Drosophila melanogaster: one gene and its partners. Changing the gene in region 1 together with any one later gene gives a genetic interaction. Each region holds a gene or a part of one and is shown in the gene's direction. Other genes may lie near its edges. The genes, in order: Su(H), nerfin-1, CtBP and Tom.

Region 1 (8,829 bases):
AACAAAATTCGATTTAAAAACATTTCGAAAAATAAGATACGTAAAAAAAGTATATTTTGTTGATAATACAGCATAATTATTTAAGCTATAGTTGCCGTCAAAGTTTTAACTGATAGTGCTAAGATATAAATTAAAACTATAGCTTATATTAGACTATATCCAATCAGTCATAATAATTGCGCAGGTGAATGGTACTTTTTAATGTTATTAATTTGTTACTTGCCAGTGTCAGGTTTAAATGTAATTAGTAACTAAACAAGTCTGAAATGTAAATTTTTTAGTTAATTTATTTCTCCTCATTATTAAATGATCTACTTTCCCTTTAGATGGAAGGCTGGTGTTGCTGCCACACTCAACTACATCGACATTAATTCGACGGAGAAGTCGCCAAAGCTGCATCCGTATCCCAGTTGGGAGGCCAACAAGCTGCCCATCGATGTGCAGCCACAGGACCAAAAGACACCATCCGGTGGACGTCTGGACGCGGACAAGGCTCAAGATGCCGGCATCCAGCTGAAGGACAACTCCACTGTCATTTCCACCTTCCGAATTCAAGTCGACGTATGCGATCGCCTGTGGGTGCTCGATACTGGCTTGGCCGACATCCTGGGCAGTCCCAAGCAGATTACGCCCAATTCAATCCTGGTTTTCGACTTGAAAACAGATACTTTACTGCGCCGTTTCACCATTCCCGCTGATCAGACCAAAGAGGACTCGTTCTTTGCGAATATTGTGAGTATGCATAGGCGTATTATTTAAATTCCAAACTGATCGAATTAATCAATATTTAGGTTGTGGATGCGGACCGCTCGGAGTGCCAAGATGCCTTTGCTTACATTCCGGATTTGGGTGCCTACGGTGTGATTGTGTACTCCCTGAGGAACGACAAATCCTACCGCGTCAAGCACAACTTCTTCCACTTCGATCCTCTGCATGGTGATTTCAATGTGGGCGGCGTGAACTTCCAGTGGACGGATGGCGTTTTTGGGCTGGCCGTGGGCCCAATGAATCCAGATCACTCCAAGGACATTTATTTCCATGCCCTGGCCAGTACCAAGGAGTTCAAGGTTTCGAACCGCGTGCTGCAAAACGAATCACACGTGACCGCTGGCGATTCGTATTACGATTTTAAATACGTTGGTGACCGTGGCATGAATGGCCAGTCCACCGCCGAGGTCTTTGACCCCGAGACCGGCGTCATCTTCTATACGCAGGTGAACAAAGACGCCATTGCTTGTTGGAACATCAAGCGTCCATACACTCCGGACACCCAGGGGCTAATCGATTCCGATTCGCACACTCTGGTCTTTCCAAATGACATGAAAATCGACAATGAAGGCACTATTTGGGTGCTGTCCGACAAGATGCCGACATATTTGTACAAGGAACTCGATCCCTCGGCCGTCAACTATCGTATTTTGATGGGCCAGAACCGCGATCTCATCAAGGGTACACCATGCGAAATGTGATCACTTGGATATTTAAATCTACATGCTGTGTTTATGACGCGGTGCATTTTTGTATTTACATTATGACATTATTGTTTGTTAGTAAGTCAGCTTAATAAACTATTTGAAATGTGATTGATTGGGTATACCATGGTGAGCCTAAGTTAAATGTCGGATTTCAGGAGGTTGTCGGCCAGTTGCACCTTCTCACCGGGCTTAAAGGCGGGCATGCCCAAATAGGGGCAAGTGGAGCAGCGGAAGGCGTCGCCGAGATAACACTGTGCATATAAGAAATCAGTTATAATCGAGGTTAATGCTAACTCACATCGGGGTTAAGAGAACTCACATTTCCACAGCTTGACTTGGCATTCTCGGTGGCCTTCTGGCTCTGTTTTTCAGTCTCCAATTCCTCGGCCAGCCCGCAGGAGCAGTTTTTGCACGCCTTGCGCTTGCCCGTGGTGCTACAGACACGCAGACCAGCCGGATCCGGCTTCTGTTTGTCTTCCTCGTCCAGCAGCTCCTCCTCATCGATCAGTTCCTCATCGTCACCGCTTATCTTCCACACATTGACTGCACTGGCGTTCTTCTTTGCGAATGACAACCTGGCTGAGGATCCTGTCTCGTAGCCAGGCTTCTCGGCGGTCAAAGCATCTGGAGAGTCCTCGCGACAGTTTATGAATCCGGATAGCTTGATCTCCTGCAGCAAACTAGCCGCCGGACCGATGTAGGACACCAAATGCAGTTTGCCACTCGGTTTCAGCATGTGCAGCAGTTTTACGTAACTGTCGGTCAGCTGGGCGCACTCGATCACAATCAGGTCGAAACTGGAGTTGGCATAGGAAGCTGTAATGCATAAACATCACTGATTTTAATCTGCTGACTCACTGGCTAGTCAAAAACAGCACACACACACCGCACCGCACGCAACTTACAAAACGAAAGGCGGTGCACATTTTCCAAAGCCACATCGCCGCCAGTGGCCGCCTTTAGTTGCTCCACGCGCTTGTCCAAGTCGGCGCTGTCCGTCCATATGTATAGGGATTTTTGTAGACCCTTAAAGTTCTCCATTGTGGATGTGTTTCTAGAATATCTCAAAAGTTCAAGCACCGAACGGAACCGATTTTTGATTTCACAAGTTAGATATGGCAATGCACCGAAAATCGAGCGGTGATATCGATTGTACCTGCCTATCGGATTGCAAATGATATTCAGTGATTGTAGATTTTTCCACTTTACACTGTGACTGCTAAAATATATGAATAACTAAGTGTACTCCACCAGATTCGTTTTTTAATGAGTTACAGCTTACATTCTGATACATAATTAACAGCTTTTAGTTGCATATTGTGTGTTTCTGCCACTAAACCTATTTAAACGGTTACATTTAAGCCTAAAGTCGCGAATTATCTTTTAAATTCACCCATGTGTACTTTCCCACGGCCCGTTTTAAAAATGCATGGACAGTTAGACAAGAAGGTTGGTAGTTTGTACCTTGAATTTTAAATGTGGGCGCTCAAAATCGAAGTGTTCAATGAAAATCGATACCTTTCGCATCAGTTAAAAGTATTTATAGATATAAGAAATAATATCTTTAACAGTGATGTGATGGGAATAAATATACAAATGTATTCAGAAACTGCAAAGTTAAAACAAAATATATTAGCTACTCCAAATTGGCTATAAAATAACCAAATGCCCACTGCCATCCAAATCCAACCAACAGTGCTGTGAAGCGACAAACATATCGCCGGTAGGCAGCGACTATCATAAATAAGCGCCTATCGGACTATCGATACAACATCAACATCCTCAGTCGCTTTTTTAGTTGTAGCATATTATAAATATAACTCGAGCGCTAGTTGCAGCCTTAAACAGAAGCCAGCCGCCACTACCGCTAGTCGCTAGTCAAGATCTGCTCGAAACGCTGAAATATGTGTGATTAGTCGTGAATCGCAGCTAGCCGCAAATCCAGCTTGAGCTACAACAACAAAGCCAATCCGCGGTTAAGAGGAAGAGAGTGCGTGAGAGAAACGACAGCTGCTCTGCGTGTGTGTTTGTGCAGCAGGATAACAAAATAGAAAACATACAGCAGCAACAACAACAACAAAAACAGCACCAGCGAACAGTGTATAAAGTGCCAAACGAATTTGCCAAATAGCCAAAAACGAAATAATAGAAAAGATCCAAACAAAATTCCAATAAGTTCAATGCAAGGAGACATGTGCATAAATGAAGAGCTACAGCCAATTTAATTTAAACGCCGCCGCCCCGCCCGCCATTGCCTACGAAACTACGGTTGTAAATCCCAACGGCTCACCCCTCGATCCTCACCAGCAGCAGCAACAACAGAGCCAGGATATGCCGCACTTTGGACTGCCCGGTCCGCAGCCGCCGTCGTCGCAGCAGCAGCAACAACAATTGCAAGTGCACCACCAACAGCAGCAGCAGCAGCAACAACAACAACAACAACAGCAGCATCAACAACAAATGCAGATGTCCTTGCTGCCGGGTCCTTACCGGCCACACATCGAGGAGAAGAAGCTCACGCGGGACGCCATGGAGAAGTACATGCGCGAGCGCAACGACATGGTCATCGTTATCCTGCACGCCAAGGTACGAAAGGATTTCCACTTTTAAGCCGGTATTATCAGGTGCTTGGTCTGGATTTAGTATTCAAGATATTCTAAAACATACAAGGGAACTCCTGAGTCTTAAGTCTTAATTAAATTATTTGAAGCTTGAAATACATTATTTCAATATTACTAAAAATATATTAACCCAAACTGGAGAAACGTAGGATATCCTAACTTTCATTTAAATTAGAAACTTGGTCAGTTTTGTACGTCGATTTCCTAAATTATTCGATTTTTTAGATTAAATAGATTAAATTCAGATTTTCTTTCTATTTCAAGTTTAACGATGTATCCTTTCTTTGAAAATTACTTGTATGCTTTACAAGATATTTATTTTTTTTTTATAATTTAGTTTTAATCTAATCGGTCAGTCCGCAACGCCAAAACCACACCCACTATTTAAAGGTGCTAGTGTTTCCATTGTCCACTTTAAAGTGTTACATTTTTGCGGTTTTTGGCGAACGCAGACATGAAAATGGAATAAAATTGTCGCGGTTGCTTTTAGCGGTGGCGATCTTCAAGCGACGACTGCCGCCAAATGGGAATCCTTCACACTCGACTGCCCGCAAATTGAGCAACGCGAGCGCGGTCCAGTCCGCAATGAAAATAATTGAAATTAATTACAGAAAATTAACAAAGCTGCATTGCTTGCGGTTTTGATATGATTTTCCGATAATCTGGACGGCAATTTGTACTAATTGAATTTTCCCTGCACCATCGTGCGCCTCTGTCTGTCTGTCTGTGTGAATTCCAGGTGGCCCAAAAGTCCTATGGCAATGAGAAGCGATTCTTTTGCCCACCGCCGTGCATTTATCTGTTCGGAAGTGGCTGGCGCCGGCGGTACGAGGAGATGTTGCAGCAGGGCGAGGGCGAACAGGGAGCACAACTATGCGCGTTCATCGGTATCGGGAGCAGTGACCAGGATATGCAGCAGCTGGATCTCAATGGCAAGCAGTACTGTGCGGCCAAGACGCTCTTCATCTCGGACTCGGACAAGCGAAAACACTTTATGCTGTCGGTGAAGATGTTTTACGGAAACGGTCATGACATTGGCGTTTTTAACTCGAAACGGATCAAGGTTATATCCAAGCCGTCCAAAAAGAAACAGTCGCTAAAGAATGCCGATCTGTGCATAGCCAGCGGCACCAATGTAGCCCTGTTCAATCGCCTGCGTTCCCAGACTGTCTCCACCCGTTACCTTCACGTGGAGAACGGACACTTTCATGCGTCGTCAACACAATGGGGAGCTTTTACGATACACCTGCTGGATGACAATGAGTCCGAGTCGGAGGAGTTTCAGGTGCGCGATGGTTACATTCATTACGGAGCCACAGTCAAACTGGTGTGCTCCGTAACGGGCATGGCCCTGCCACGTCTGATCATCCGGAAGGTAGACAAGCAGATGGCCCTGCTGGAAGCCGACGATCCCGTTTCTCAGCTGCACAAATGCGCCTTCTACATGAAGGATACGGATCGGATGTATCTCTGTTTGTCGCAGGAGAAAATCATACAGTTCCAGGCCACGCCGTGCCCCAAGGAGCCGAACAAGGAGATGATCAATGACGGCGCCTGCTGGACCATCATATCCACCGACAAGGCTGAGTACCAGTTCTACGAGGGCATGGGTCCTGTGGCGTAAGTATAGCTTACTTACAACTCAATGGATTAGTTTTCATTTCGTGTTTTCTTCCAGTTCTCCAGTCACTCCAGTGCCAATCGTTAATTCCCTTAATCTCAATGGCGGCGGGGATGTGGCCATGCTAGAGCTGAGTGGCGACAACTTTACGCCGCATCTGCAGGTGTGGTTTGGCGATGTGGAGGCGGAAACCATGTACCGCTGCACAGAGACATTGCTATGCGTGGTGCCGGAGATTTCACAATTTCGAGGCGAATGGCTTTGGGTAGGTTTTCCAATGTAAATCTGTTTAATACGCGCTATAAATTTTACTTTTAATGGTCCTTGCAGGTACGTCAGCCCACGCAGGTGCCCATTTCGCTGGTGCGCAACGATGGAATAATTTATGCCACCGGTCTGACCTTCACGTATACACCTGAACCAGGTCCTCGGCCGCACTGCAATACACAGGCCGAGGATGTGATGCGAGCGCGACAGAACAATAACAATAATAACATCACTAGCATTAGCAACAATAATAACAGCAACAATGCGGGATCGCCGGCAGCCGGCGGTGGCTTGCAACAACAACAGCAGCAGCATCAGGCTCTGCCCTCCATCTCAGAAGTGCAATGGAATAGTCATGGTAGCGGCTTATCCTGAGTGCAGGATTATTGCATCGCACACATATGTATCCTAAGTTATTTATAGTTTTTATCGAAGACCTTAGTTTGTAGATTGACAATTTTTCTCATACTAATTTTCAACCCCTCGTGACGTAAACCAAAATGTGTCCCCTTCTCTCTAAAGTGAATCATACTTTACACATGTATCTAGTGCTAGTTCGGAACCAATAGAATTGTAAATGACACATAAAACTCTGTACATAACTCGAAAAGCTCACTGACATACATACATACATTTGTATGTGCATGAATATACCTTTACACAAAACATGTAATTCTAGTTAAATATACAATTGATGTAAGTTTATAGACGATTTTTAGATGCGGTTGAAATATTTATGATTTTCTTTGCTATGAATTTCCAAAGATCTAAATGAAAAAAAAAAATACTGCGAAATGCATCGGAAATTTTTATTATACACAAGCCAGTAGCCACGCTACAAAAACATTCCATTTCCCTCTTTAGCTTTCTAAAAAGTCGAAGACAAAGTCAAAAAGGGAAAAATTTGTTTCTGTACATACAGTTTTGTTGCATTTTTTTATTAACTTTGGAAATTCGTAGCATTAAAAATCCCAATAAAATATTTTGTAAAATAAAATCGCAACAAGACAAAACAGCGATTTATTTAAGTGTAAGCGAAATGCCTAACATAAATAAAAAAAAGAAATCCCAAATGATGACAAAGAATAATCAAATCATGTCAGCTTATGTTTTTGGTTTAGCGTGATTCTTCTGGTTCACCATTTTTCCTGTGGCCTAAGGTGGAGCGCTGGGGAGGATTGGTTGCCTTAAATTGCTGTGGGAATATTACCCAGTATCGTGTGAATATTTTTAAACAAAACAAGTGCAGCTCTTCCCACGATGGTTTGCCTCAACCCCCTCGGACGGGCCGACTTTAATTATAGTTTGGTCTGGAATTGCTGAACGCGAAGCTAAGAAGCAAATATACATAGATATATAACACTATTGTTTCCGTTTTGGCCAAGTTAAGGAGCAGAATATTCTCACAGCCCAAAAAGCCGCTGCCGAGCTGCTGTGAGAATTTTTACTGCCTTTGTTGAATATTTATGCATTCGTTGCTGCTGCTGTCTTTACAGATTTACAAATTAAGATTCGCAGTTTTGAATTAATTATCGCTCACTTCCGCTCGACGGAATCAGAAGGTGAGCGCTGGCCAAGCATTTAATCTCATCTTGCACTTGGGAGACATATTTCTTATCAGAGTCAGCCAATAGGAACTTGGCTGCAACCCCTAAGATTTTACTGCACCGGGCGATGGGAACGAAAGACTTAAACAACGAACTTTGGTTGCGTGAGGAATCAAACTACTGGCGGCCGCCTGTGTTCATTATGATGGAAAAACCACCACCAAAAGTTCTGGCTCTGGCAATTGGAACTGCAACCTCTTAAGGTCGTCGCCGTCTTATAAGAAGCTGAATATGAAATTAGTTTGGAATTTTTAATGAACAATTCCTTCACATTTCCCCAGGCCCTCTTTCTCCACCACTGTTTGGATAGGCGAGTGCGATGATTGTGGTCGTTTTTAGAAAGGGGGAGACAGCAATTTCTAAAAGTTCTCAGGACTGCTACACAACCTCATACCGTCTACTAAAAAAGTTCATTATCTTGAAAAATCTAAGTCTACCTGCCGTCGTCTTTAGTCTTTAGCTTGCCGTGCCGACTGCTGCCGTTTTTCACACGCTGGGGAAAAATGGAAATTCTCGCAAAATACAATGCGTGGGAAATCGGTGGCGTGGGAGTCAGGCAAGAAAATCAAGGGAAACTATATAATCCAGTCCTATAAAAATTTGTATTCACAAGACTTTGGACACGTACTCCCTTCCATGCGCGGTAAATCCAAAGCCGTAGGTCAAGATTGGTAAATCGATGGCAAAATCGATCGGATTTTCAAAGTTTATAGGGGTCGGTCGTAACCGTTACTTCAACTTGTTTAGTTCCATTGTTGTTACTTAACAAAGATATTTATATAAGACTAATTATTTTATTTATTAATGACTTTAATGAACTATTAACACTTGTGCTTACACAGCATTTTTTGTCTAAAATAGATTGGTTTGTTCTATACGAACCCATTTTCAAGACTTGTCACAAGCATTTGTTCAAGTTAAGTGTTATTAAGTGTCCAAAGTTCGTTTGTTTGTTTCTAAACGAAATGAACTTAAGACATTTAACTACGTGTTTGCACGTTTGTTTGTGTCCGAAGTATAATTTTCTAACCGTTGATCGAAATGAAATTTGCATTAATCCAGGTCAATGAGATGACCTTACCTTCCATCCGATTCTATTAAAAAGACCACATAATTTGTATATAATTTATTAAATAATTGAACATTTCTATGTATTTGATACAAAACGTCATCAGTACAGATATGCAGTTAGGATATACAAAGATATAGATGCAATATGTGTAGATACAAATGCTTAT
Region 2 (8,223 bases), on another chromosome or scaffold:
GACGCACAGCTGTAGGACTATTATTAAAATTCTTATTTCGGGGGAGAGCTGTAATTGGTGGATGATGAGTCCTTAAAAAAATCGTTGTACCAAAGGCATAGATTTTGTTAATCGGCTTTTGGCATGCACAAAATGATTGGATATTATGCCAACTTGTTTTCTATTCACTGTAGATTAGCTTACAAAAAAATATCCCAATCCCCTGTGCTCAGTGGGGTATTTACTATTAAACCACACATGCTGAGCCTGGCTTATTGGCGGCTGAATCACCCGGAGATACGGCAAATTTGGAGCTTTCAATTTTAATACCCAATGGAGTAATGCAAATTGTTAGCAGATTTTTCGACTTTCCCCCTGCCAGAAACAAATCAAATGCAATTAAAAACCTTTGCGCCCTGGAAACCAAATCGCTTGGCCGTCGGAGCAGCAAAAATTGCATGAAATTATGAAAGCGAAAAATTTAATTACAGCTCAGTGGAAGTGGCAGTGGAATGGATTGACAGGACTGAACCCCGAAATGGCAGCCTCATCGCCACAATGGGCAACATGTGCTACAAGTGGAGTGGATCCTTGAGGAGCTGCCCAAGCAAAAGTGCACGCGGCTTGCAGGCTCAAAAGCTGAAAGGCTAAAAAGCCTTTTGAGACACACACAGCCAGATGAAAACGAGAATGGAAATGCAAGTGCATTATGCCGCATAAACGATGCATTTTCGAACATTAATTATTGCCAAGCAGCCGCCAGAGGGAGCAAGGATACCGACCAGGACACGCAGACAGATCCGAGGTGGGGCTGAGCCCTTGAAATTACCATAAAAAGATGCACTTAAGGGTTAGCAATGTACCGAACAACAAACAGAATGCGTACCTCCTATGTGGGCGATTTGACGAGGTGGGACATAGAGACCATATCCCAGTGGTCGGGGCACTTCTCCGCGGGCTGTCGTGGGTGTTTGTCGAGTGCGAATTTGTGCCAAGAACGCCTTGGAGCGCAGAAATCAGAGCAGTCAAAGCGGATTTTTGAAGGGTACATGCAGAGAAATTTATCACTCATTAATCGAAACTTCTAGAGATTTAATAGACGACTTCCCCCTTAGAAGCAAGTGCGGAGATCGTATGCCATGGAAATATCAAAAGTGCACTCTGATCTGGTGGATGATGATAACCGCAGAGAAGCCTCTAAACAACGCGCACTAATCCGTTTCAATGGGCTTGTCTCAGATTAATCAATTTTCGTCCTTTTTGATGGCTTGATTTCCCGTTTCCTTTTTCGCTCACTTTAGTGAATCGCAAATAAGGCGGCATTTGTGACTGACAGGAATAAGTTGGCAAGGCATCACCGAGTCCTCCGGAGGGGAGGACTTTCGCCACCCGGCACGGGGATGGATTTTGAATCAGTGTATCTGCGATGCCTTTCAGGACCTTCGGATGGCAGCCATCGCGGCCGAAGGACGACAGGACCTTCAGGACAATGCTCGCGTGGCTGGCGCACTTCTGAGACTTTTGTCGCCGATTCACTCGATCCGAAGTTTGGCCCAGGATTTGGCCTCGGATGCGTGCGCTATTTTAATTCTAAGCTGCATGGCAAACATCGATTCCCCTGGCAAAAGGCCACCCTGCTGCGACAGGATCGCCTTGGGAATACTCTCTGCACTTTCAACCATGCACTGCGAGAAAATCAATATTAGTAGCGCATTCAATTCATTGTACAATGTGTATTATAGCATTCTGGCGGAGTTAATACATTCAATTGAATATAAAGCTGAAATCTTAGATCAACTATGCAATTTGGGGGTATTTTCTTTTAGTGCTCACATTGTCAGCCCGTTTTGGGGTGGCAATCGTTGCCATGCACGTGCCTACCGTAATACAAGAACAACAACAATGGCGGCGTGTTCAACATAATATGCCATATTTTCCAAGAGCGAGAGTCCTGCGAATCCTGCGACGAAAGCCCTCGACGGGAATCGAAAGTGCATTCCTTTCATGGCAACCACTGTCGACTCAGTCAGCTCAGTCGGCTTCGCATTTCGATTACATTAATGCAAAGCACTCACACGAACGATACACGTCCAGGATACTCGCACACAGATACAGCTACCGTTACAGCGACAAGGATACGAGGATAGAAGCGATTGTGCGCCATGCTCCGCGGTGGTGAAGTTCGAAGTTCGAATCCAAGTTGTGTCTGCTAGTCTGTTAGTCTGTTACCTACCCCACCAAAAGCGAACTTGACGAGCTTAGTCGTCTGAGGCTGATAAATGCAGTGCCGCAAAGTACACATCGCGAAATTTGTGTATGAGATGTATGAAAAATGTAAAAATAGATAGCAATCCGAACTATGCCCTATGTTGATGTACTTTCCAGCCGTTATTACTTGTTACATTGTTTACTTTTATAACCATCTTGGCCAACAGCTGTTTAGCACCAAATGCCAACAAAGAAACAATTCACCTTTTGGCCCAAGGATATTCCCGATCTATTGATGAACCTTATGGTTACATGCTCAATTAACGACTCCATGGGTGTCAGCTGTTTTTTTTGGCAAAAATAAGGACAATGTGCTGCTCAGATTTCCGCTGAATACACAAACATACATTCATATTTGCCTAGGAAGGTGCTGCGATTTTGGTGCGTGGCAATTTCGGGTACCGAAACAACAGCTGTCGCACATTGATTTCTCCGAGTGCATTGTCCTGGCCGCAAAACGGGAGACTGTGTGGTGTGTGTGTGTGCGTAGGACTTTCACTCCGTGTGTATGTGTGTGTGTGGAAAAAAGGGTGACTAATGTGTGTGTGATTGCTAACAAAAGATTCCGGCTTTTGCGGCTCTGCCGGCGTCGAAAAAGGACAACGACTTCGGCCGAAAAGGGGGTTGAAATGTATTTCCAGGACGCCGGCACAAACAATGATTTCGAGTTTCGGTTTCGCTTTCCTTTGGCCTGTGGTACACATAAATAGCCGCCACCGAGTCCACCGAACGTCATTCGCAGCACAAACGTCGAGCCGACTGGAGGTCTTCTGCATAGAGTCCCAGTCCGCGAGGATCAGCGTTATCAGTTTGTTGTTAAGTTTGCTTAGTTCCCGTTCTACGTTCCCCGTTCTACTCCGTTTTCGTTTTGCCTCGTTGAAGTTTTAAGTTGAAAGTCCCATCGATGCCATGGCCCAGATACAGACACCGATACCGATTCCAGCCCCCGCGGAGCCCATTGAAAAGCTCAGCCACCCGCACAGCATTGGCATCCAGTTGCAGCACAAGGGGATGCCCCATGGCCTGGGCCTGCTGACCACAGTGGCCTCGCTGCCCCCCAAGTACCGCAGTCGATATCTGAACCTGAAAACCAGGTGCGAAATACCGCTGGATCTAACGCTGAAGCTTCCCTCACCACTGCCCAGCAGCGATGTGCCCATGGCGGCCACATTCGCGGAGGTCTATAGCGAAAATACGAGTGCTAGTTCCAGCGAGGTGCAGGGGGAGGTGACCAAGGTGGAGGAGCTGCCGGTGAAGCCCCCAACACCACCGCAGAGTCCAGCAGGGAAGCGTAAATTGAGCCGGGAGAGCTATGACGACGAGCCGGCTAAAATGGCCAAAAAGGAGGAGGAGGTTCCGGTGGAAACAGTAGAATCCACACCAGCGAAACCCGTCAAAGTGGCAGAATCTGCGCCTAAAACCAACAAGGCCTCCACTTCCTCGGGAAAGCCCTCCCGCAATAAAGCCACCCGCAAGCTGAAGTTCGATGAGGAGACCAGTTCCCCCGTCTCGGGCACCGTCATCCGACCGCTCGAGGACATCACCGATGGATCGATGCAGTACAGCAACGGCGACATTGACCCCAAGTACAACATAGTCGAGATCACGGAGGAGACCAAGGCGGAACTGGCCGCCATCAAGAACGTGATCGGGGACTATGTCTGCCGACTGTGCAAGATCAAGTTCGAGGACGCCTTCGGCCTGGCCCGGCACAGGTGCGCCTGCATCGTCCTGCTGGAGTACCGGTGTCCCGAGTGCGGCAAGCAGTTCAATTGTCCTGCTAACTTGGCCTCCCATCGCCGGTGGCACAAGCCGAGGAAGGAGGCGTCTAAAAAGGAGAATCGCAATACCACCAACCAGCCGGAGAAACAGCAGCAGGTGGAGAAAAAGTCGGAGGAGGAACTGGCCTTCGATTGCCAGGAGTGCGGCAAGAAGTTTAAGAGAGCCGCCTACCTGAGGAAGCACCAGCTGACCCATCAGAAAAAGGAAAAGCCAGCGGAAAAACAGTTGGAAATGAAGCCCACCACCACAACTATCACAGGCAGTTTTCACTTTAACCAGGCGGTGTCCACCTCCTCCTCCGCCAGCAGTTCGCACTCCGATGAGGGAGTCTACGTGGTGGGATCGAATGCCAGGGAGAACTACGACTATGACAACGACTACCTCTCGGACTCCAGCTCCTCCGCCTCATCTGCGGGATACGGACGGCTTCAGATTGTGGAACATGGTCTCACGGAGGAGGAAAGCATTGCTGCCGCAGCTCTGACCAACTTGAGGAACTGCGCCTCCGTCATCCAACACACAACCATGGCCCACTGAAATCGAGTGAGATTTATTTTTAATGTTAAGTTTAGTTTCTAGTTGAACACCAAACCCGATGCAGCTGAAACAGACCAAAGAAATAGTTATATTCCACGGAAATTTCGTTTTCCACTTCGTATTCTTAGTTAGCTATAAAATTTAGTTCTTAACCGATTCAGTTTCGTTCGCAAAATGAGTTCAATTCTAGTTAGACTCTAGTTTGTATCCGTACTTCGGCCCACATTCCACACGGCAATTTAGTTGTAACTTAATTTCTAGTCAGTGAATCCAAAGAATCTTGGCACTAGTCAGCTTCAATACGATCTCGAAAAGAGTGTCTCTTGTGTACCACGAAGGCATTTCTATTAGTCTCTAGATTTAGCTAGTTTAGGAACTTTTGGGAGTGCAATGAACCTACAACGAAAGCCAAAGCAACCAACCAAAGATTTATAACTAATACTAGTCAGTCATATATCCATCTACTCCTTTGCTCCTACATCATCCCATGACATCATTCATCACCCATATCATCCTTCATTCTTCTTACTACTAATCATCCCATAGCTTTTCACACTTTCATACCAATTTCCTCATGACTCACTCTCATCCTGTATCATCTTTGCATTTTTTGCTAATCATTTTCCAGTTAATATTCTACCCTTAATTCAACCCTTTAACAACTTTTTCAATCTGGAAATTTCTCGTCATTCTAGTCACAAGTTCTTGCATTCCTTCTAGTCACTTAGGATAAATCATCTCTATAAGTCAGCTTCAGTTCGATCTTACTAAGTTTGTACAAACATATATCGTTCTTCAATTTCGGATACAGCTTTAGTCATATTCAGGTTATATACCGAAACCAAAATTCAGGCAAAATTGTGCAGTAATAGTGTTTAAGTTCGAATCAAACCAAAAAGCAAACCAAATCCTAGTTTAAAGCAAATTCAAGCCCAGTGTTTGTGAACCAAAGTCGAGTGTGAGCTCTAGTCATTTTAGCCACCTAATCAAGCGGAATCAGCTTGTTCTCAGTTTAGTTTAGTTAGTTAAGTTAGGCATAGAAACGGACATTGGACCAGCGTCTCACTACCAGTCAAAGTATTGAACAGTACAACCTAGCTATAAGGGCCACAGGCTTCAGAACCGGCGGTTGTGTACTTAAAGCAATAAAATAAGTAATCCCCGATATCGGGACAATATCACAGCGCTATTGTTCCTTAGCATCAGTATGTGTAAATTGGTTGTAACCGCAGAGTACAACGAAAAGGGAAACTTTCGCTCAATCTAGGAATTAACTAACTCTAAGCTATATCATACATGTAACCATATCGGTTGAGATTTTGTGATACTACAGTCTAAGCTTCAAGTTTACAAGAGAATCGTTGCGCTCGATTGTGCATTAACAATAAGCTAAGAGGAGACAGATCATTGAACCAAGTATTTTTATACGTAATATACACCATATATTTTTATACAAAAACAAACTCTTGAAGACCTTTTTTAATTATATGATGTCTAAGATGTAATCGACATATATTTATCGGAAACCAATATATTTTTATACAAAACCCAATCTTGGAAAACCCATAAAAATTGTAAATTATAAAAGCTCTTGAATAAAAACGCAAAACTGAAAATGAAAACTTCTTGTTGGGTTCTCTTTGGGTTGTCAGGGAAAACAAACCCCCAAATGATTGCTTTATAATTGCGGCGAGGTGGTCATATATCATCTATACGGGGGTTGTAAGACTGGTAACCAATAATGATGAGTGCTCTTGGGTGATTCCTTATAATCATGCCCAAATAACGGCGAACTGCAGTAATGAAATGCCATTAAGGGCCATTGACATGGTCCATCGATCTGGGACCGACTAAAACAAATACCAAAACACACTAACTGCCAAGGCGGAAAAGCGGAAGTGGACCATTGAATCGGACAGATGCATTTGGGCACTGGGCTAAGGACGAGGAAACTTGATGACGATGGGGTGGAATCCCAGGGTGTTTTCAACTCAGTCTCTGGTCGGTCCATAGTGAAACTCTAAACGGGCCAAACTAATGATGCTCTCAACGGAAACGCGTAAAAAATGTTTAATCAAATACAAATGCATGACAGCACGGAAAAAAGGCGAACAGGATATGCCAGGATATGCTAGGATAGTACGGGATGCGAGGGTGCAGCTGAATAAAACTAAAGGATGCGGGGGTGGCAGTTGCGTGCGCGGTGTGAATCAATTTAAAGCGTCAAAAGATGTGGATGTCCTTCCCCTCGCACAGCGAAAATTGTGTAAAATCATGCCGCAAAAACAACCCCGTCGATGTTTTCAAGGGGGCGATGCAGCAGCCGTAAGTCACCAACATCTGTGTCTGAAGGCCTGAAGCAAACAAAAAACATAAAATACTAATAAAATGATCTCGAAACCGATACGTTTTGCAGTTTGCACCTTGGCACGGGACATTCCTGTACTGTGGTACCCGCATTAGATGGTTCGATGTCCAACAAGTTTCCATTTCTGCGGGTCAAAGGCAGCTGCTCGAAGGATCTTACTTCCTTTCAGGTCCTCGGGACTCTTATCCTGCTGCTCTGCTAATTTGCACCTTGAGAGGCATGTTGGCTTGGAAATCCGTTCGAGACTACCTTATGCAGGTCCTTTGTTCGCCCAAGTGGCCATGTGTTCTAATGGCACTCCTCCAAGGAGTTGACAGATTGATGAGCGCGATTGGCAGATTTGAAGTGCCGACCACTCGAGTAATCCATTTGATTACCATCATCATTGGCAGGCCACTTAGAATTGCCCGCCCAAGGGGTTTTTCAATATGCAAATTGTTATTATGTATGTTGCTGCTACAGTTGCTGGAGATCCTGCACATGATATGAAAGGATATCTTTGTACTAACATGCTGGGTAATTATTCGCGATCTTTGTAATCCATTTGATCATGGCACTTAAAATCCTAAAAAAATTAATTCACAATGCAGCAAAAATCCCTTTGAAGCAATGCTACATAGTTAGCCCACGGATTTTCAATTCGAATAACTTATCTGTAATATCTTCCGGAACTTCTCCTTTTACATAAATACAAATAATACGTTGAAAGGCTCTTATACGTTTTAAACATATGAAGCTGCTTATAAGGCCCGAAAGCTTCCAAAGCTCCAACTGATTGCGAAAGCGCTCCCGTGCAACACTGCCAAGTCGCAGGTCCTGGCAGCCATCGAAATGCAACGCGGCGTTAAGTTGGCAGCTTCGACTGTCTAAGGAAATAACGGTTATCGGGAAATTTTCTCCGGCAGAGAGACGCCTACACAGAGGAGTACGTGGAGTGCCGAGTTCGAGTCTCAGCCGGAATCGCACACCTGACATTCATGTTGTGGCCATTCTGGCAGTCAGACGTGTGGATCGCAAGTCCGGAAAGCCAAGAGCCGTAGCCCCAAGTGCAAAGTGGAGGAAAGGTCTCAAGCAGATTCGCTGTCCGTGAACGGTTTACGGTTGCGGTTTACTACGACGTGTCGCGTCTCAGATTTTCATCCGGTAAATAGTGACTTGAAATAGTTACTTGCGAGTCGAGATGAGGTGTTAGTTTCTTTGAAAATTGGAAAAGCACAGAGAAAACTGTTCGTTCAAAGTCGCAGCATGTGCTAGGGGGTGGTGACTTGGTGGGTGGTTCCGGATGGGGA
Region 3 (7,625 bases), on another chromosome or scaffold:
CAATGCCGACTAAATTGAAACTGGTTGGGGATTTTGGATTTATTGTTAAATTTTCAATTTGATGCTAGTAAATATAAAAACGTTACGCTTAAATAGCAAGAATTAGTTGCCGTCGAGTGGCTAAAATACTTGAGTGCTTTCACATCTCGAAGACGAGCGATCCGGAGGCGTAGCTAACGCTGGAGTCCTCAATGTCCTGACACTGGCTGCTCTGGGCGTACTTGAGGAACTTGAAACTCATCTTGTCGTAGCCCTGATCCTGCAGTGCCTTCACGGCGCCTAGCATTACTCCGATGGGATGGCGTCCGCATATCGTATTGTTGTACTTGCGCAAGTACTCGGTGAAGGAGTGCGGATTGAGCGACTCAATGATGTCCATGCCCTGCTTGTCCAGCTTCTCGATGGACTTGTGAATCGCTCCGCAGGAGCTGTCATAGTAGGTATAGCTGAAGCGATGGCCCCAGTGGCAAAAGTCGGAAGATATCACAAACAGATTGGTGGGGTCCATCAGATACGAGGACAGCAGGCTGCCGTACTGCGCCTCCTGTTCGGGATTGAGCGAACCCACCAGAATAGGCACAATGGTGAACTGATCCTTGTAGCTGCAGCAGTGCTATTACTTAGTAAAACGCCTCGAGCATATATTCAAATCCACTTACTCCTCCATCACTTTGGCAATGTAGGGTAAATGCATCTCGATGGAGTGTTCATCCTCGTCAGTCTTCATGTCCATCCAAGAAAACTTTCCAGTCTTCTCAAGCTCAGAGTTGACTAAATATAAATAATAAATGAAATCAATAAAACATGCAATGCACCTTGTATTTGCAATCGACATACTCTGAGCATCAATTTTGAGATCATAGAGGGGTGTCCTGTACTTCTTCGCCACGGATAAGGCGCAGCCACGCAGACGCACATGATGCGAGGGACCCAGTATGAAGATTCGCTTGCTGCAAGCAAAGGTTCAATAAAACCGGATTGTCTTCGCGGAAATCTCGAATGTGAACTTCTTACACGACAACTGGGCTAACTTGGCGATAGGCAAAGGCAGCGCAGGCTCCACAGTACGTATATCCAGCATGTCTGTGGAATATCAATCAGTAAGTTCAATGGTGCTTATTGCAAGAATTCGGTTAAATCTTACGGAGCAATGATGGCACGAGCCGGTCCATGGGACAAATCTGCGGCACCCAGCCAACGATCCAACTGTCTCGAGAGCTCGGCGCCTGAAAAGCAAAGTAAATACATTTATTAACGAATAAATAATATCGTAAACCATAATTCCCTGCTCAGGAATTGGTTTCAGTTTCGAAATCAACGAAAATAGTTGGCCAGTCGTTGCCTAGCAGCAAACAAACAAATATTTCCTGGTTTATAAGACTTTCACTAAATCGAGACTTATCACAGCAGCGATATAAAGTTATTAAATATTGATTTAAATTTTAGTTGAACATTCCGCGATGGAAACTGATAAGGAAAAACAAAGCGATGAGCTCATGAATCGCATTCGGAACGAGCTTACAGCTATATTATCTCAAGAGTAAGTTATCAAGTTACCCAATATATATATATATATATAAAAGAAGAAAAAAATCAATCCATTTATAATCCTACAACAGGGCTGCTGATGATTCCGACAAGGAGGCGTCACAGGAACTGCTCCTGAGTCCCAATCCGCTGCCCATTTTCGGGCCCATAAGGAAAACAAGGAAAGCAAAATCGAGGAGTTCCAAGAAGAACAATAGTAAGGCCTCCTCCTCGTCCGCTGGCAGTACAAAGAGTTCGTCGTCGGGTACCAGATCATCTGAAGATCGTTTAACTGGAGGTGGAGCCCAGGAGAAGCCATCGGATCCGGTCTCCACATCCTCGAGCTATTCGCTAAGATCAGGATATGACGCTCCGCCCGTGGAGGCCAGTGCCCGTGCCGACTTCCTTGAATCGCAAGCGGCCAAAAGCATCGACGAAGATGTCCGGAAGATGCAGCTGGAGCTCAAGCAGAGCTACGAACTCTTCCAGGGCATTGGCGAGAAATTGGAGTCGGTTAGCTTCACGGGCTTGAAGGACCGCATACGGGACCTGCACCTAAACGAATCCAACAACGAGTTGGGCAAAGCGACGACTGCAGAGCTTCAGATGATGTTCGACCAGCGTTTCCTGCAAAATCGCCTGGACAAGCTATCCACGGACGCCACGCAGGGATTCCGTCGGCATCCCGGCGAATTCGGCGACATACCCGAGCTGAGCACCTTCTTCCAGGCATGCACTCAGTTGGAACGCGGACTGGATGCACTGCGTCAGCAGCGGCGGCGCAACAGCGAGCTGGAGAAGCGTCTGTGCTGGGCCACCGAAATCGCATACGATCGCATGGACGAGATTCGCAATGCGGTTGGCTCGGATCCGGAAAAGAACTTCTGAATTGGTGACCTGTAGTTACATTTTTGGTTCACCCTAAGGTTCATTACCCGCACACAAACACACACACAGGCAAACACGCACAGGTGCAATACATATGCGTTTATCCCACACCCATAGGCGATGCAATAATTGATTGTGTTATCTTCTGGGCCGCAGCTGGGTTGTTACTCACCCGAGTCCGTGTACCAGCTGCCTGCATGGGTTGCTCTTCTGGCCGACATTTTGTGCGAGATCCCTAATCGGTCTGTTTAGTTAGTAAGAGCTATTAACTGGCCGTTACTTGTAGAAAAAACGAGTTCTTTGTTATTGGTACAGCAGTGTGACCGTCGTCTTGTTTTTGAAATAAACACGTTCTCTGGATTCGCTGATCAGCGGTCACACTTCTTCAGGGCTGCATTAAGTACTTAAATATCGTTTTTTTTTTGGTATAATCATATATACCATTAATACTTTTTTATTATTCTAAATAATAAATCACACAAATAAAATACAATACATAAGGTAACGTAATTTTATTTAAGTGTTGTTTTTTATTAATTTCCATAAATGAAATCGCATAACATATACAACTGAAACTCACGGAAGTCGAAAGTCGGAATTCTGCAATACCAACATTTCAAACTATACCATAATTCTTGCAGTTTGCCTGCGCGCACCGAGGTATTTTCGAACGACCCGTGTGCGGTCACACTGTTCGCATAGCGTCATTGCTGTACTAAAACCTAAAAATCCGCCGTGTTCGTATTCCGCCATTTTGAAAGCTGCGAGTGGAATTTGGACGCGTTGCTGGTAAATTAATTGTGGGAAAACTGCCCAAAAAGTGCATAAAATTTGTGAAAAGTGGTCGGCAACGGTGCATGAGACCCGCCGCCAAGTGTTTGTCCCCGAAAATTGTGTGTGGCCGCGTTTTTGGCACGTGAATTTCTTGCCCAATTGTGAACTCGCAAAAAAAGAAAAAGAAAAGAGAGAAGAAAACCGACGCCGCCGTCGCCGCCGCCACAAAGGAATAGGCGAATAAGCGAGAGAAAAAAAGGCGAAAACGAGAGCTGAAAATCAAATTGTGCGCCGCTGATTGCGTTTCAGCTATTTAATAATACCACAATCGAAAATCCGCGGCAGCGGCGATTTTTCCACGGATTACTACACCATATATTTCCCATTTGCCTTTCCGTTTGCAACGAGTGTGCGCCTGTGCCTGTGTGCGTGCGTGTGTGTGAGTGTGCGATAAACGTGTACAAGAAAAATTTAAACGTGCAGAATTCTGATGAATTTTAAAGCGGAACTGCTATTGCCTGTATAGGTGATGCGGGTGTGCGTGTGTGGGTACGCACACACACATGACCAAGTATTGTTGCGGTTTAATGCAAAAGTCGAGTGAGTGCGTGTGTGAGTGAGTGAGAGAGAGAGAGAGAGAGCAATGCCTGCCATATTCTATGCAAAACATAAATAAAATTGTGCAATAATTTCCCCGCACACGCACACAGCCACAGATACATACACTCTCTTTGTAATTTATATTTTTTTCCGCCCGCCTAGTGACAATACACACGCAAGGTTCACTGCGCAACGTCCCCCTTTTCTCAAGCACCCCCCTTTTGCCCACGCCACTGCAACATGCTGTCTCATCGTTGTTGTTTTGCCGCCGCCACATTTGGTGCGACAGAGAGAGAAAGAGCGAGCTAGCGCGAGTGCAAGAGAAAGGGTGGGAGGGAGAGGCCAAAAGCAACGAGTTTGAAAACCAACTAAAGCCTCATGTTGACACATTTCAACCGGGAGTTTTCGTTCTTTCGCTCGGATTAAAAGCCTTTAAAGGGTGAAAGTGCTGCTTATCGTTTCTTCTTCGCGAACTAAAGCTTTAAAAGTATAAATAGCTTTTATTTCCTGCGCCCGCATATTGATTGCAAATTACAAGCGCACACACTTACTCAACAACCGTTGCGATTGTTTGTTTGTGTGTGTTTATGCCGATTTGAATACACAACCAAGTGAAAAAGTTTGATCAACTTACGAATGTCCATTCAAATTGATGCTTGTTTCTAGTTTTCTTACAATTTTTGCGCTTGTCGTGTTTTTGTCATAGCTTCTTCTATCTCTATCGCTCTCTCTCTTCTCTCTTGTTCGTTCGCCCTTTCACTGTTCGACGTGCCTGTACCCATCACACACATACAAACGTATACGTCATACACACACACACACGCACACATGAAGAGGCAGACAGACAAGCAACTCTGGGCTCCCCCCTCCCTAAACCTCTCCCCTCCCAGCCACATACTGCCGCACTTGCAACGGGAATGTTGTTGGTATTGCTCGCAGTGCTCAAAACTCCGAAGAGGATTACAAATGGTGTTTTTGTTTTTGCCCAAAAACGGAAATACAGACAAACTTCTGCCACATAAAGAGTTCAAATTATAGCGACTGTTAGTTGTTTAGTCATTTGTTGTATTCCCCGCAACTTTTTGCGCACTTTTGGGGTATCTAGACTGATTACAAACCCTTAAAAGCAGCAGGCACAATTGAAATTATTGATTGCCTTAAAGTTAAAGTTAATTGCGGTTATGAAATTTTTGGCTAATTGTTCGTCATTGGGCAAAAATGAAATGCTGAGGAATTTGCTTTATAAAAACACTTAAATTTATAGTTATTAGCCACTGAATTTGTATTGCAGTCGTTAAGAATTCTTCCTACCCAATGTAGTTTTCGCTATAGAATAAATAGAAATATGGAAATATGTGGCAGAGAGAGCCGCTTTTCCCGTTTCCACTTCAATATTTGCATTGCCATGGAATTTTCTATATATATAGTCCATCGATAACTGTACATGTTGCTGAATTTGTTGTTACTAGTTTTTTTGGCGCAACAACGTTTTCCGCTTCTTGTCACTGCCCTTTTTTGGCAAATAATAAATTTGATTGTGTATGGGCTGCCCACTCCCACTAGCTAACGGTTATTTATTGTCAATGCCAGGCGATGCCGCCCACTGCCACGCCTCGTACGACCCCCCCCCCCAATCCGTTTGATGCTCTGTGTTTTTGCGCAATGTTTGTTGTTGTGTGTTTGCCGCCGACTGCGCGCGTGAAAAAATGCACACCTGCCCAAAGAATTTCACACTTGGTGGTGCACGGGGCGCAAAACAAAGCGAAAGCAGCCACCAAAATAGCAGGCAAACGTTTAAATTTAAACACAAAAGTCCGAGGAACTAAAATTCGACCAGAAACACAATGGCAGCCATGTGTGCCTCATATTCTTGTATTTTTTTTCTGCGCTCTATCTCTATCGATCTGAAAGGCAAATACAACGCAATTCGGTTGATGGTACAGGCTCTAATACCCTTAAAGCTAAATTGTCCAAGTTATAAATTTGTTGAAAATGAATGATAGTTTACAAATTCGGATGTCTTTCATCTATTCAGCGGTGGAAAGATGTATTTTGGCCAGCTAATCGTTGCATGTTTGATGGCAAACCTTTCGCCATATCTGCTATACTCCTGCGCAAGCACTTTTCAAATGAAAACAGAAAACACACACTTTCAGATGGCTCAGCCAAATTCGTCCAAAACAACAGATGCAGCGATATGGCAACAATAATAAATAGAAATAGCCAAGCAGCCGCAAAACGCAGAATCAGCAATTCGTAAGCGTGCGAGGCAATAATATATACATATATATATATATATAAATTGTATTTCATTTGATTTTTTCCCACTTCTGGTCACTTGCCACTCGGCTATGCTGGCTTGCAGTTTTTCGATTTGCGTCATTCGCAGACCGCGCGCACCACCAATCAATATTATAAAAAAAAAAAACAACAACAACAACAACAAAAAACGAAACAAGACAACAAAAACCAAAAAACAAGTGGGAAATACGAGAAAAGGCGAGGGAAAACAATGGGAAAGCAACGCAGAATGGCACCTACATGCATACATACTACATACATAGACAAATGAAAACATTGGCCAATGTCAGGCAAACAGTTTAAGTGCTTTCGTTTGGTAGTACAGTAAATACCATGGCTAAATTATTGCTGAAGGTCCGAACTCGTTCGTAATCGCGTTATCTGCACTTTTCCAACCGCGAAAACCGAATATCAGCGAAAATGGCCAATTCGGAAATTTACCCAGTTAATGCGGTGTGTTTATATACTTGTAGGTGGAATAATCTGGCTAAAACAATCTCAAATTTAAATTGGAAGGAATTTGGAAAACGCAATGCTCTGATTTTCTATTGAAAAATGGTTTGACTTTTTATAGCTTATTGGCAAAAAATGTATTTAACATTTAGATATTTTCGCAATTCAACGATTTCTGGTTTGAATTTCTTACATTTTCCATGTTCTATTTTCATTTCTACACTCCCATCTATAAATTCTATAAATTCACTTATGGCATTGCGGGCAACTGATTTATGATGTAAGAGTATGAATACCCATACCCACAACTTTCGCCGGCTTGAAAAATCGCATTTGCGAGTGCCGAAATATTGTGGCATTAATATCGCGCTTAATGTGAATGGCCATCACTTTAGTTACTGCGAGCCACGAGGCTTTTGGCGTCATCTTGAAAGCCGGCTTTAAGTGCATATGCATGAAACAGAAAGCTGAAATGGTTAGCCAGCGTGGTGTGGAGGGGACGGGGGCTGCTGGCAGGAAAAGCGCGGGAACGCAACGTCACGACAAAACGGCAGCAGCCGTTAATTCAGGCAAAAGTACAAAGAAAAGGGAGCGGGTGGGGTAAACAAGTTACGAGCACCGACGACGACTGACTTAAAGTTGAAAAATCGCTGGCAGTCGTCGCAGCAACGACGCATGAGCAGTTGCACTTTGAATTTTCCAGTTGCAGTTGTCGATTTCCCAACCCTCGAGCAGCATTTTCACCATTTCCCCGCAGCAGCATCTCAACTGTGCTTTAAAAGTTGTTGCCCACAAATGCGCATGACTTATTTAAACGTGTTTTAAGGCTGCTCAACACACACACACACACACAACGCACACATACAGCAAACAATTTAAGCGAACATGGCTTTCAGGCAGGAAGAAATTGTGGCAAAAACGAGAAAAAGAAATGAAAATAAAATCGAGTGGAAAAAAGAACCGAGGCACACACCGAGTTCGCCAGCGGCTCTTTAGCGCGCTGACTTTCCTCTTTTTGCCGCCACTCTGTTATCGTCCGCCTTGTCGTTTCATGTTGATAAACCGGTTTTTCGCTTTGGCTT
Region 4 (5,798 bases), on another chromosome or scaffold:
ATTATTTTTGGGGAAACTTCTTGGTCGCTTCAACTGAAACCCTTACAATTCCAGAACATTTACATTTTGGGTACATTTTTTGTCGGATTGCATTGAAATTGGAGAACTCTACGGATTTGATAGGACCCTTTTACCACATTATGTGGACAGGAGCGTTTCTGATTTCAGGCCAAAAAATCGACGTTGGACAATGGCGGCAGTTAATCCCTTTTTCCGGAAGGTCACAATTACGCTGGATTGGAGTGGCATTCGTCGGTCATATTCGGTACCCTTCCACCACCACCCCCACTCCTATCTCCGTGGATTGAACATTGTTGCATTCCCAAAAAAGGGTCCATCATTGTGCACGTGCAAGGGTCAAACACACAGCATCGGCAGGTAAAAATACGAGACACAAAGAGTAACCCCAAACACATCAGAAATGCACGATAAAAGAGGATTAAACGAGACGAAAACGAAACGAACCCTCAAATGACCCAAAACTAATGCACCTCACGGAGGTTTTTTAACGGTCTACTGGCCGGCCATCAACAGCCATGAAAAAGCAATCATCGCCGCGAAGATCGCTGAGATCGGCTGATGATGTTTGCAGATAAGATTCTAGAAGAAACCCTTACTCTACAAAACCATATAGCACTGAGCTCTTTGGCAAATAAGAGACATAGTTTCTAAAGAACGTAGCTCAAATTTTACGAAGCGATCGTGTCGAGACTTGTTCCATATTTCAAGGATCGAAATTCATTGCACGTGTGCAAACACTGCGACTGTGGGATAGTCGGTCTTCTTTATTGCATTGTTTTTCAATTCTTACTTTGCGTTAAGAACAATAAAACATTTTTGTAAATGCTCCTATTTGGCAACGACAAAGAATTCAATGCAACGTTAAGATTGAGAAGTAACAGAAACAACTGATTTTATTAACAATATTCATTTGCTATTTAGTTTGGTCAACAAATTCTATTTCTTAAATTTGTTGTTTTTTTATACAAATCAGTGCTAACCTAACATTAAAAAAAAATATAATGTAGATCCAACTCCTGTTAAATATTAATTTTGAAAAATTGTACGAAATGGTATATTATGGTATCATACTTTTGATTTGTTTTCCTAAAAATTTGTGTTACAATTTGTGTTCTTTCAATATTCTTTGACTTGTGTATACCTTAAAAATAAATTAATCGTAGCCTATACATTTTACATATGTACATACGTTACTATTGTAAATATATGTAAATAATAGTAGGATTATCCAAACGTGCATTTAATTTTGTATCACATTTCTTACAGCAATACCTTAACTTTAAGGAAAAATACATATTCAATATTATTTGAATATATTTTCCATTATTAATAGGGAGGAACGTCATCTTAATGTGGAACCGTTTCAAAAATTTACATAACATCAACCTGCCACGCCTTCCCTTTATAAGCCGAAAACGAAAACCGAATGGTTAACGATATGTGTAAAGTGTGGAGAGGGTCAAATCAGGTCACGTCTTCTGACAATCAACAGCCAGGCAAGTGTAGACCCCAATTTAACCCCTCGACTCTGCTTCACTGCGATTGAAATTGATATAATGCACCCCACCGAATTGCGCAAAATAATAAACAGGTTTCCATTGCAAAAGGGAGAACCTTAAAACAAAGAAGCTCTGCGTAATGCGGGGCACAGCAATCAGACGGGGGCCAATTAGGGACCCTCTTAATGACCGTAAGGATAGCCAAAGGAACGAAACGACCGTTACAAGAAACTCGAGTCCTCGGAGCCGTTACAAAATTATGAAAGTAACCTTCGGGGGCAAGGGAAAAGGGCCCATAACAATTAGGAAGGCGACTCATAAACGAAGTGCCGACGAAATTCCACTAAAATGCGTAAACCGAGCCAAAAACCAAAACTCTGAAGATCCCTATCTGTACGTGCTTCTCCCGCGTCGAAAATTTTTCACGCATCAACAGAGCAGGTCCCTCGAACCGGGAAAGAACAACAATGACAAACAAATGCGATCGGAAGGAGCTGAAAAGGACCTGCCGAGATTTCCCGAAATGCGGCATTAATGCATATTGACTAACCTTGAGAGTCCGATCCCATCCCATTCCATCGCAATGCCAAGTACCCGAAAAATACGTTACTTTGCTCAACTACCTACAGGTTGGGAAAATAGGAAAAGGACGATCGGACGGAAGGACTTAGGGGCACTTTCTGGGCTGTCTCAATGAAATAACGGACAAGTCCCTTGTCCGTTTGGGTATTTCCAGCGGCGAGATTGTATCTCCGAGATATGCCAATCCATTGTTTGTCCATATCCTCCGTCTTTTTTCGGATAGTGTGTCGAATTTTAAAATCTCTCTTCCCTCACACTCTGTTATGGAATTTTTTCAACAAGTTTCGACTTGTCCGCTCGGTACTCTCCTGGAATTTTACGTTTGGGATTTAGGGACTTCTACTTTTCTTGCGACAGAGTCGAGCAGGTAAAGAGAGGTTGTGAGGCATGGTACTCTCAGAGGGGGCGAAAGATCGAGAACCGACCGAGATCTATGCGACTGTCAAAAAATCCGTTAAAAACCTGCAGTGAATGAGCAACTCGAGTGGGTAATACCCAGCATTTGAATCACGTGGGAAACATATGAAATTTTAAAGTAAATGACTTAGTATGGTATGCTATGTTCCAAAAAATAAATACCATTAGTAAAATACTAAATAATTGTTAAATATACAACGATCTCTTTGTATTTATTGTAATTTTACCGATGTACTTCCTACATACCTTAATTTAGCAGTGTGCTGTTAAGGAAAACTTTTTTTGTAAGGCTGTGCCGATCTTAATTATTTAATTTTAAATAGTTTTTAATTTAGTTGTATACCAAATATTTTAGGATACATTTTATTCTTGCTAGTCTTTTAAGTTTAATTTTAATAGAGTCCTTAAATATTGATATTTTTCATCAAGTTTATGATCTTATTACTATAGTTATTATAAATTCAATGAATTCAATTCAATTAAATTCAACCTTATATGGCCCCTTTCAATATTACTATTATAAATAATTTTTTTTAGAAAAAATACACTTAAAAGATATACACACAATAAAAACATATTAACCTTATTTTTCGTAAAATCTATTTTTTATGCACAGACTCAAAAATTCATCATACCCTGCTTTCTCAAGGGTAAGGACATGCTCCTGATTCCGAGACCGCTTTCTCTTGGCTCTCTTTTGTCTCCCGCTCTCACTGTTTGTGCAACCACCTGCAGGCAGTCTGCCTTCCCATTGGCTGGGTCCATCGATCGAGAGAACCGCCGCTCTGTGCGAGAATTCTCCCCCGCCGAGAGAAACCAAAGAGAGCAAATCGTATATAAGGAGTCGGTCGTGCAGCAGGAAAACCAGAATACTACCAACTCTCAACCGAGTGCAACCAACTAAGATCCCAAGTTTTATTATAAATCTCAACAATCCTCAACACAATGTCGTTCATCACACGGGAATACAAGTTTGAGAGCAGCAAGGTGATGGAGCCGAAATCAGATCAGCACACGATGGCCATGCGGAGTCTGAGGAAACTGGTCAAACCCCTTCTGCGACTGGTGAAGAAGAAGCAGCTACTCCGGAAGACTCTGGCCGAGATCCAGAACCAAAATGCAGTCAACGCCTCGCTGGAGGACATGCGCAAAGATCCGGCGGCCAGTTGCGATAACATGGCCAACGAGGAGCTGGAGCAGCGACTGTACACCGATCTCCGCCAGTGCCCCACCAACGTGGCCATGATCGTGCAGCAGGGTCAGCAACAGAGCATCGTGCCCGTCCATCCGGAGCAGACCTTCATCCCGGTCCACTTCGCCCGCACCACCAGCGGCACCTTCTTCTGGACCTCAGCCGAGGGAGCTCGCCAGCACCACGAACAGCAGTTGCGCCAGCAGTTCGACCGTTGGGTTCAGGCCTAAACATCGCCAGGATGCACAGTTCCACTTCTCGATGCACCGGGAAAAACTCCAATTGGCAGCTTTAAGTGCAAGTGTCTCCGTCCATTGGTCGTCGGATGGATGCGGGTTCAGCTTCGCATGTTCGTAATCTCAGGGTGATATTAGGCATAGATTGGATTCTTTGGGCTCGCGTCCCAAGGGAAACACAACTCTAATTGATATTCAATTATCACAATCAAGCGTTACTATCGTTAACTCATTGTGATTTATCGTGTCTTATTAGCCTTAAGTTAGTCTTAGCCGAATCATTGTCTTCCATGTTTGTTTGTTAGGGTCTTCGTATAAGAATTAGGCTAAGAATCATTGTCTTCCATGTAAAACTTTAGCTATAAACACTAATATCATATAAGAAATAAATAAATCGAAAAAAGGAAATTCTAATGTCTCTTTATTCTGAAAACTGATATGAAATAATATGAATAAGGTTGGAAAAGAAAAATCCCAAATTGAATGACCATTGTAAGTATAGTTAAATTCGGCTACTCTGTACAATTCTGATTTGAAGAATGGATTTTAAATTGGACTCGCTATGCTGGTGAACACATTCCAATTAGTGACTGCATTCATTCCTGCTTGGAGACCATTTGAATCCAAAAATGCTGCTGGTAGGCAGTTGGAAATACTTCCGTAAGAACAATAAAGAATTTTATTTACATTTATATTTAGCCTGACCACAGGCTAATATAATATTCACCAAATATTATTTTTTGTCTTTCATACAATTTCTGCATCTGTTATCGTTAAAATATGATTTTTGTTTCAAATATACCTAATATATACCTTTGTAGTATATATGTATTTATTTATTTATTCTATTTATATTTCGAAAATATTGGTATAGTAAATATCATATCTTTTCATATCATATTATGGTTCACACGCTTCACACGCACCCCAACCACCTAGCGCGAGGTCTAATCCAGCTCAGCAGCCGTTCCCGTCTCCGGCGAAAGGACCTACCAACCCAGCGAATAAATTATTAGGGCCGTTTAAACATAGAACAGTTGGAAAAATAATACAACTGTTCAAAAAATACTTGTTATAGTTAAGATTTTTAAACTTATTGTTAGTTCTTATACAAGAAGATTCAATAAATAAAAGCAAAGTAAAATAAAAAAAAAATATTATGGTTAAAAAAAATTACTGTTTGTATCTACAAATATTAAAATACTACAAAGAATTCTTCAAGAACTAATTATAAGAAAACCATATCAAATAACCCAGTCTAAAATGAATAAAATAATTTTTAAAAATTTTGAATGTGCTACAAACGCGTGAATTCTCAAAATTCTTTAAATGAGTCAATGATAAATATTTATCACAATAATATCATATATAATATGTATGTATATACGGCTAACAAGCCACCGAACTGAAATAAAATAAAGATAAAGAATTATGTATTAAAGAATACATGTATTTTCAGTGTAAATAATTTTTTTTTATAAGAAAAATGCAACATAAGTCATATTACAACACTCGATCCACAATATTTTGTTTCACGATAGCCACAAGCTAATTATGCAGGCTTCATTCTGGCGCTTGAATTTCAGGAAACCTGACACTAACAACTAAACTTGAAACGCCACCAAAATAAAATCTTCAAGTGCTTATGGGGAATTATGCCTGTGGAATAGTTAAGCGAGCCACAAGCACGCTAGGTTCCTGGTTGGTCACCCCCCAAGTGGATGGGCCAGGATCCTATCCCACTCCATCTAATGCAACTGGATTGGAATACGAATGAATCCCAAATTACAAGTGCCAAGTATTTCAATAGGAGACGAAATTCGAATTTCAACAAGAGACGAAATTTTAATT

The links.
Region 2: of Su(H) (region 1) and nerfin-1, changing one suppresses a phenotype caused by changing the other (phenotypic suppression), as found in Drosophila melanogaster (one study listed by BioGRID).
Region 3: of Su(H) (region 1) and CtBP, changing one enhances a phenotype caused by changing the other (phenotypic enhancement), as found in Drosophila melanogaster (one study listed by BioGRID).
Region 4: of Su(H) (region 1) and Tom, changing one suppresses a phenotype caused by changing the other (phenotypic suppression), as found in Drosophila melanogaster (one study listed by BioGRID).

Annotation. Positions count from the first base shown.
Region 1 is NT_033779.5:15,036,260-15,045,088, forward strand, and holds Su(H) (suppressor of hairless), read left to right. Parts: upstream 1-3,228; 5' UTR 3,229-3,677; coding exon 3,678-4,061; intron 4,062-4,835; coding exon 4,836-5,716; intron 5,717-5,774; coding exon 5,775-5,982; intron 5,983-6,047; coding exon 6,048-6,359; 3' UTR 6,360-7,075; downstream 7,076-8,829. Other genes in the region: yellow-c, read left to right, coding at 327-732, 792-1,469; CIAPIN1 (cytokine induced apoptosis inhibitor 1), read right to left, coding at 1,613-1,726, 1,795-2,291, 2,381-2,516. UniProt on the Drosophila melanogaster protein: Transcriptional regulator that plays a central role in Notch signaling, a signaling pathway involved in cell-cell communication that regulates a broad spectrum of cell-fate determinations.
Region 2 is NT_037436.4:906,142-914,364, forward strand, and holds nerfin-1 (nervous fingers 1), read left to right. Parts: upstream 1-2,970; 5' UTR 2,971-3,156; coding exon 3,157-4,566; 3' UTR 4,567-6,178; downstream 6,179-8,223.
Region 3 is NT_033777.3:13,008,545-13,016,169, forward strand, and holds the start of CtBP (C-terminal binding protein), read left to right. Parts: upstream 1-3,104; 5' UTR 3,105-3,204; exon of another isoform or gene 3,205-3,628; intron 3,629-7,625. Other genes in the region: CG8031 (uncharacterized protein), read right to left, coding at 140-602, 660-771, 838-950, 1,015-1,083, 1,145-1,226, 2,588-2,636; CG11656 (uncharacterized protein), read left to right, coding at 1,461-1,540, 1,620-2,415. UniProt on the Drosophila melanogaster protein: Corepressor targeting diverse transcription regulators. Hairy-interacting protein required for embryonic segmentation and hairy-mediated transcriptional repression.
Region 4 is NT_037436.4:14,965,963-14,971,760, forward strand, and holds Tom (twin of m4), read left to right. Parts: upstream 1-3,381; 5' UTR 3,382-3,464; coding exon 3,465-3,941; 3' UTR 3,942-4,344; downstream 4,345-5,798.